Linked DNA regions of Drosophila melanogaster. The protein of the gene in region 2 purifies or fractionates together with the protein of the main gene of each other region. This does not show direct contact. Each region holds a gene or a part of one and is shown on either strand. Other genes may lie near its edges.

Region 1 (3,751 bases), on a different chromosome or scaffold from region 2:
GCTCAGCTATCTGCATCGCCTGGAAGGGTCCGATGCCCAGTCCGGAGCTGCAGATACGCATCAGTTCGACGGTGTTCAGTGCCTGTGGTTTGCTCTTGTAGGCCTCCTTGCTGGCCACGCTCTCCACACTGAAAAAAGAAAAGAGAGGAAGTGGTCACTAGATGGAAAGGGAAAAGATAGTCAATTCTTGGTGAGCTTTCTTAAATTCTGGGGATCAGCAGCATTTTGTTTGTTTGCATTCGTTATGAACACAAACAGAAATTATGCTAATTCGGCATGATTGCTTCTCTGGCAGATACATAGATGATGTAGGCACCAGATTTGGAAGGAATGGCGTAATGGGTGGAAAAAAAAGAGTCAGCTGTCTTTCGAGTGACCAAAAAGTGGTTATAAGCAAACGGAAAAGTGACGAAAGCATGCTTATTTATAGACTAGCCGTAGTGACAGCAGCCATGATTAGGTCTTACGTGGCCTTCTTGTGCTCCTTGACGCGATTCAGCAGCATGATGGCGATGTCCTTCTTGAAGACCCGACCGCGCGCCCATTCAAGCGTGACTTCCGGCTGGCCGGCGAGGAGCTGCAGATGCCAGAAGCTCTCCGGCTTAAAGGTCTGGATGTCGTCGTGCCGCTTCACGCAGAAACCGAGCGTGGGCGTCTGGCAGGGACCGTAGGAGATCAGCGACGAATCCAGGTCACCGTAGCGATCCTGAAAGAACTTCGTTTGAAAGCGGGTAAAGGCGCAGCCAATGCGCAGGTCCAATTCCTGCCGGGCGTCCACCGACTTGGCCTCGTTCTCGTTGGGATGCCCCAACGTCTCCATGGCTTTCTTGATGTCCTTCTCCGTGATAGCCGAGAAGTGGGCACGGTATGTCACCTGATCGCTGTACACATTGTTGATGACATGCTTCACGGCGTCCATCACCTCGAAGCAGATGTTCTCGCCCTCCTTGTCGCAATCCAGCCAGAGCACCAGATAGTCACAGCCGCGCGCCTCGTGGGCCAGAAATTTGCGCATGTTCTGCTTGGGATTCGTTTCCTTCTTTTCGGTGGCACAACCGAAGAGCTGGATGGGATCCACCTTGTCCCAGCAGTTGTACTTCTTATTGAAGTCCAGCGACATGACATGACCGCACACGGAAGTCATCCGGAAGTGGACGCTGCCCTCGTTCCGAAAGTTGCCCGTCCACTCGTGCGTGGAGCAGCCGTTGCCGGTGCCTGGAGAGGATTACATACAATTTCGGTTGCTTGCTGAGTTTGGGAGTTCGTGTTGATCTACTGGCACTTACCACGCTTGGCCGTGCAGCGTCCGTTTGAGAGAATCCCCGCCAGCGAGGCCGCCAGCGAGGGCTTCTCGGCCACCATCAGCACGCTCTTCATGGCCCAAATCCAAGTCCCGCAATCCAATGGCCTATATAATTGATGATGAGATTTTTGCAGCGCTTCCTCCTGCCCACTCGTTCACTCGCATGGGATTCGCCGGTTTCGTGCTGCACACACACTCACACAAACGCACACGCACAGCATAAACGCACACGAACACGGGCTAATGGATGAATTGGACTTCCTCGCTATACATCCGTATAATCCCCTCTATTTAACAAATTTCACGGGCATTATTTTCCAGCCAATAATACGGTCTCACTGCCGTTGGCAGCAACAGGGTCACACTACATTCTAACGAATGCATCAATTGGTCATACCGCAGCGTGCAGCCCTGGTGAGCAGATCTTATCGCTCGTCGATACCAGTAGTCAGTAGTTGTGCAAACCTATCGGTGGCTATCGAATCGAGTCGCAAGAATGTGCACAACAATTTCGTTCGCGGAACCCGAAATCGTGCTCGGCCATGGCCGCAGGGTGCTCTTCGTGAACCCCGACGACCTGCAGATATTCAAGGAGATCGAGCTGCCGCCCGACCTTGGCCTGAAAGGCCATACATCCCAGTCGCAGGAATCGTGTACAGCCGCAGCAGCCGCATCCACAGCCACAGCCGCATCCGGTCAGGCACCGGGTGGCAAGGAGCAACAGCTTGCCAATCAGCCAGAGGAGGGCGGAACCTCTGCCAGCGCCTCCGGTTTGGGATGTGCCACCAGCACATCGGTACAGAATGTGGCCTACTCGCCAGACGGACAGCTGCTGGCCGTGACCACCAGTGGAAAACAGAAAGCTCTCCTGCTCTATCGTTCACGGCCGGAGAACGCCCGCCTGCTCTCCGCCCGCCCACTGGCCCGGGCGTCCAGTGCCCTGCGCTTCTGCAGCGACAGCAGCTCCATTCTGGTCACAGACAAGACTGGCGATTGCTATCAGTACGACTGCGTTGAGGTGGAGGCTCCGCCGCGCCTGCTGTTGGGCCATTTAAGTGTGGTATACGACATCCTGTGGTCGGAGGACCAGCAGCATATCATCACCTGCGATCGGGATGATAAGATACGCGTGACCAACTATCCCGCCACCTTTGACATCCACAGCTATTGCCTGGGCCACAGGGAGTTTGTCTCAGGCCTGGCACTGCTCACGGAGCAGCATATCGCCTCCGCTTCGGGGGACAAGACCTTGCGCGTATGGAACTACATTCAGGGCAAAGAGCTGCTGCAGCACGAGCTACCAGCACCGGCGGTTCGTTTATTGGTACGCCAGCTGGAGCCGGAGAAGGTCTTCCAGGCGGCGGTGCTCTTCTACGAGCACGTGGACGCCCTGGGATTGTATCGCCTGGAGCGCAGCTCCGATGACACCTGGAGCGTGACGGCCACACAACTGGTTTGCGCCGAAGCGGGCTCATGGAGCATTAGCAACTTTACTTTAACCAGCGACCGGATCTACATCACCGGCGCAGAGAACGAACGCTTAAGCTTGCGCGTCTACGACATCGCAACTGGCCAGCCGGCGAGCAGCGGCGTGCCCGAGGGCTGGCTGAAGATGGTGCTAGACGGATTGGGTGCCAACGAGGAGGGCGCACCGCCATTCATTCCCGAGGACTTGTCCGTTTGGTTTAAGAAGCGCTTCGACAACGTTAGCGACTATTTGGAGCGCAAGAAGCGGCGCATCGAGGAGCAGCAGCAGCAGAAGTGCGGCTAATCCCCGGGCGCCCACATACCCAAAGGAAATTAAATGAACCTAATCTTTACATAGCATTTAATTAGCATATGGAGAAGAAGCAACGGACTTTGTGTGACAGGCCCGTTGTGGGCATAATATATATATATCTGTATATGTGTGTAAATGGTGTATGGTTATCTCTATGGGGGGCGGTGGCGAGCACTGGCTCCTAGACGGGCTTGTAGTCCAGCTTGCTCTCCAACTTCTTGTTGTCCGACACCTTGCGCACCGCCTTCATGAAGTCCTCCTGGATGACGTACTCCCGCTCCGCACTGGATTTGCAAGAATAGTTACATTTTAGGGAGCTTATCAAGCGGTGGAAACTTCGCACTTACCGAATGGCAAAGAGACCCGCCTCCGTGCAGACATTACGCAGATCAGCGCCATTAAAGTTGTCCGACAGCTTGACAATGGCCTCGTAGTCGATTTCGCCGTGCTTGGCGATCTTCAGTGCGTGAATCTTGAGAATTTCCAACCTAAAAGGAGTTGGGGTTTTACCATCAGTATGACAAAGTATGTAAGTATCTAATCTGAGAAATCCCTATTCATATTTCACCAAGAAGACATCAAAGATAAGAGCCAATCAATGTGGGAATATAGCTTACCTAGCCTGCTCGTTGGGCAGCGGAATCTCGATCTTCCTGTCCAAGCGACCC
Region 2 (3,751 bases):
CAAACTCGTTGGCCTCCTTGCTCTGGAAACCCATGATCTTGCTGGGATCGTAAGTGTAGCCATTCGCCAATTGACTGTAGTTCGCCTGCGAATTGTGCCTGGGATTGTGATGCTTTTGGTTGGTTTGAGCCTTCTCTGGCTTCTGCGAATGCAACTGTGCTGGCTGCTGCTGCTGCGTTGTTTCTGTGCCCGATCCCGCCAGGCGATTGGCTTGTCCTCCTTGCTTACGTCGATTCTCTCGCTTTGGCGCACTGCTCACCTTGAGATTAGCTGTTTCCTCGGTTATCTTACTCAAACGGGCGTTGAAATCATCGCCAGCACTATTTGTCGATTTCGCTGCAGAACTCGCCGAAGTTAAGCTTGCTGCCGGCTTGTTTCGTCTGTTGCCATTGGCGTTGCCGTTCTCTGCTCGATTGGAGCCTCCACGATTGCTGCCTCGTTCGCTGCCACGTCGGTTGCCAGTGTGGTCCTTCCCATTGGTTGTTTCATGATCTGGCTTAATCTCGGAATTCGGTTTCAACGATACGTTATCCGAGCCATTGCGATTTGCGGTTTTTACGGTTGGCGTTTCTGGTTTGTAACGTCCAGCTGCACGATCATTGAACGCTCCTCGCTCTCGCGGTGGTCTCTCCTCTTTCGGCGGTTTTTCTTCCCTCGGAGGCCTGTCTTCCCTGTAGGCTCGCTCCTCTCTTGGTGGCCTTTCGTCCCTGCCGCCACCCCGGTTACGGCCACCGCCTCGCGACGAACCCACATGTCCACCACGATGTGCGGCAAAGCTGCTCGATACGTTGTTCTCAAACCTAGAACGATCTGCAAACTTGCCGCCTCCGCCCATAGCTGAAGGTTTGCTCTCGGAATCGCTGAAGCGCGAGCTTCCATATTGCTTAAATGGATTGAAGTGATTGGTAGTGGGTGGGGCAGTCGGAGCGGCAGTTGGAGCGGCAGCGAAGGTTTCTGCATTACTAGCGGCCGGTGTTTCCTTGGCGGGCAGTTTATTGGTTAGGAAATCAAACAGCGTGGTGTTGGCAGCCGGCTTGGGTGCTTCAACTTCGTCCTTGGCGCTAGCTCCACGCTTTCCCTCTCTGGGCGGACGATCTCCGCGTCCCGGACGACCCACGGATTCGATCGGACCCACACCGCCAGCTTCACTGCGTCTTTTTAGATTGTATAGGGCGCGCTCCAAGTTGTTTCGGGTAGCAGATAAGGCACTGCGGGCCTCCTCCTCGCTGAAGCCCTTGTCTAGGATCTTCTTAACATTGTGATCGATAATGTTCTGGCCACCGCCGCCAAAGATCTTCTTGCCGCCGGCCTTGGTGGCCACGGCAATGGCCTCTGTGCGCATGGCATTGAACTCTTCGTTCTCCTTTGCCGGCTTGTCCTTGTCGCCCTCGCCCAGGCTCTTAAAGTTCATTTCGCTTTCGGCGTTGCTATCGATTTTTCGGCCAAATGCCACCCACGGGGGTGGCGCTGATGTCCCATTCAAGGGGCGCCCACTGCGCGCATATCTCATCATGGTCCTGGCCAGATCCCATTTCTCGTAGAGTGCATCCACACGGCCGCCGAGCAGCTGAATTTCACTGGACTTTAGCAGCAGGAATCCCTGCATAAGCTGCAGTTTCTCGGCCTTGAAATAGATCTTGCTTCCGGGAGCCACATTGAGATTCAGTTGGGGAACTGGCTCCAGCTCCAAGGCCTTTATGGAATTCTGCCCATCACTCAGATCCAACTGAAGGAGGCGTGGCGCCGCCTTCGATTCCTCATTCGCCTTGGGAGCGGCAATATTTCGCACACGCTGAACCTGCAGCACAATTTTACCGGGCAAAGTGGCATCTTCGCGTTTCGCGGGCAGTGCGCCACCGCCAATATCGCGCAGATCTCGCTGCAAAGTGTGAGTAATAGGTTATAATTAATAATTACACAGAATGCTGAGCAGCCGGTTCGCCTACAACTCACATTCAGTGCATCATTGACTATTTTCCGGACATCCTCGCTGCCGACGGCTGTTGTCACGATTTTAAGGCCCTCCTCTGTCAGGTACCTGCGTAAATCGTTAAGAAGCATTGTATGCCACAATTTAAAATTGTACTTACCACCCGACTTCTCGTAGTTTCTTGCCTAATTCCATTTTTTCATGAAGACGATTTTTTTGCAACTCCGGACTAGGGATGACAAAAGTATTAGATGTGTGTACTCGCTAGTGATGTGCTTGGCGGCAACTATCGGCTGACGGTGCATACTATTATCGTTTAAGTTTAGGTTGTTTAGTAATATTAAATGCTTTCTTAAAATCTAAAAATTTTAATATTTCTTGCACACTTATTCAAATTAAATATAATATATATATTATGTCCCAAGAGATAATGTCAAAATTGGGTGCAACACATATACTAGCATATATATTTTTGATAGATGTACTTATATATCGATAATTAAATTTTATCAGTTATAAAGAATTGGCATTATAAATCGATTTAAAGTCGTAATATCTACATGTTTAGAACAAACAAAAGAGTACCCTATACGCACAGCCACTCTAATGACAGTTCTAGTTTAGGTGGTAAAGCGAATAAAATGCGGTCACACCGCGCCGCAATGAATGTATAAAAGGGGGCTGCCATCCGCAGAGCGAGTAAATAACGGTTCGCGAGCAACAACTTTTCATTTCGAGAGCGGAGTAATTTTTCCAGCCGACCGACAAACAGTGATTGAAAACCCAAACGAGATTTATTTCGAAACGCGACAAGAAATTGTTACATCAAAGGAGCTGCAACGACTAAAATCCGCGAAGAAAGTGCGAGAAAATACCTTAAAGAGAGAAAAAACCAGTGACGCAGTAGCAACAACAACAAACAGTCATCGAACGATTTATAGAATCTAACGCCGAGTCCAAAGCATGAATCTATCATTCGCTGGCTGCGGATTCCTGGGCATCTACCACGTCGGAGTGGCCGTCTGCTTCAAGAAGTATGCACCGCATCTGTTGCTGGAGAAGATCGGAGGCGCTTCGGCCGGTTCCCTGGCCGCCTGCTGTCTCCTCTGCGATTTGCCATTGGGTAAGTCTCTTCCCACTTGCTTACATGGGTGGGTCTAGAGAGGGAAGCTTTCGGAATCATTAAGATCTGCCAACTATATGATAGCGATTCTCCAAGGCGAAACAAAAATAAATTTTTTATTTTGCTTTGCATAAATCTTAATTTGTTAAGTTTCTTGTTTCTTTTCACACTCCGCGTCTGAACTTGGCCTTTGCACAATGTTTTCTGCTTGGGAAAACCCCTGTGAATATTTTCTGCACCCCTCTGGTGTTTTCTCTACTGCTCTCCCCTCTTCGTGCAGAATGCACACACACGAACACACTCACACTTGCGTTCGCAAAACAGCTGAGTGCAAAAGCAACCACACTGGGCAGTTCAGTGACTCTGTGAGTGGGAGTGAGAAAGAGAGCGAGTGGGAGTGGGAGAGCGCGAAAGATGCTGCGAGGCTCAATATAAAACGCATTGAATTGAATTTTATTGATAAGCTTGTTTGCGTTTGTAGGTCGCTAGGAAGTCAATGGGGATCTTTCATAATTGACTGCGATAGTGTGTGTGTGTTTTTGGGCGTGTTTGTCCAATTTCGAAGGGGGCTCGTCCCATCCGCTCAAAAGAAAACTGCGGCGCAGTTGAAAAACCTTACGAAAACAGAAAAACAAGTTTCGTATGCCCGGGACAACGCACTTTTGTAAAGCGGCACCCGAATATATGGGCAAATGGTT

Evidence for each region. Proteins that work in one complex are often made in the same cells at the same time.
Region 1: the proteins of Tdrd3 (region 2) and Top3beta purify together in Drosophila melanogaster (affinity purification with western blotting; 3 studies listed by BioGRID, with this or other methods). This does not show direct contact.

Annotation. Positions count from the first base shown.
Region 1 is NC_004354.4:6,286,355-6,290,105, forward strand, and holds the start of Top3beta (topoisomerase 3beta), read right to left. Parts: upstream 1,637-3,751; 5' UTR 1,378-1,636; coding exon 1,287-1,377; intron 1,216-1,286; coding exon 468-1,215; intron 129-467; coding exon 1-128. Other genes in the region: wuho, read left to right, coding at 1,800-3,074; Rpt4 (regulatory particle triple-A ATPase 4), read right to left, coding at 3,265-3,367, 3,431-3,571, 3,701-3,751. UniProt on the Drosophila melanogaster protein: Releases the supercoiling and torsional tension of DNA introduced during the DNA replication and transcription by transiently cleaving and rejoining one strand of the DNA duplex.
Region 2 is NT_037436.4:14,785,221-14,788,971, reverse strand, and holds the start of Tdrd3 (tudor domain containing 3), read right to left. Parts: upstream 2,182-3,751; 5' UTR 2,126-2,181; coding exon 2,091-2,125; intron 2,039-2,090; coding exon 1,954-2,038; intron 1,880-1,953; coding exon 1-1,879. Other genes in the region: bmm (brummer), read left to right, coding at 2,894-3,053.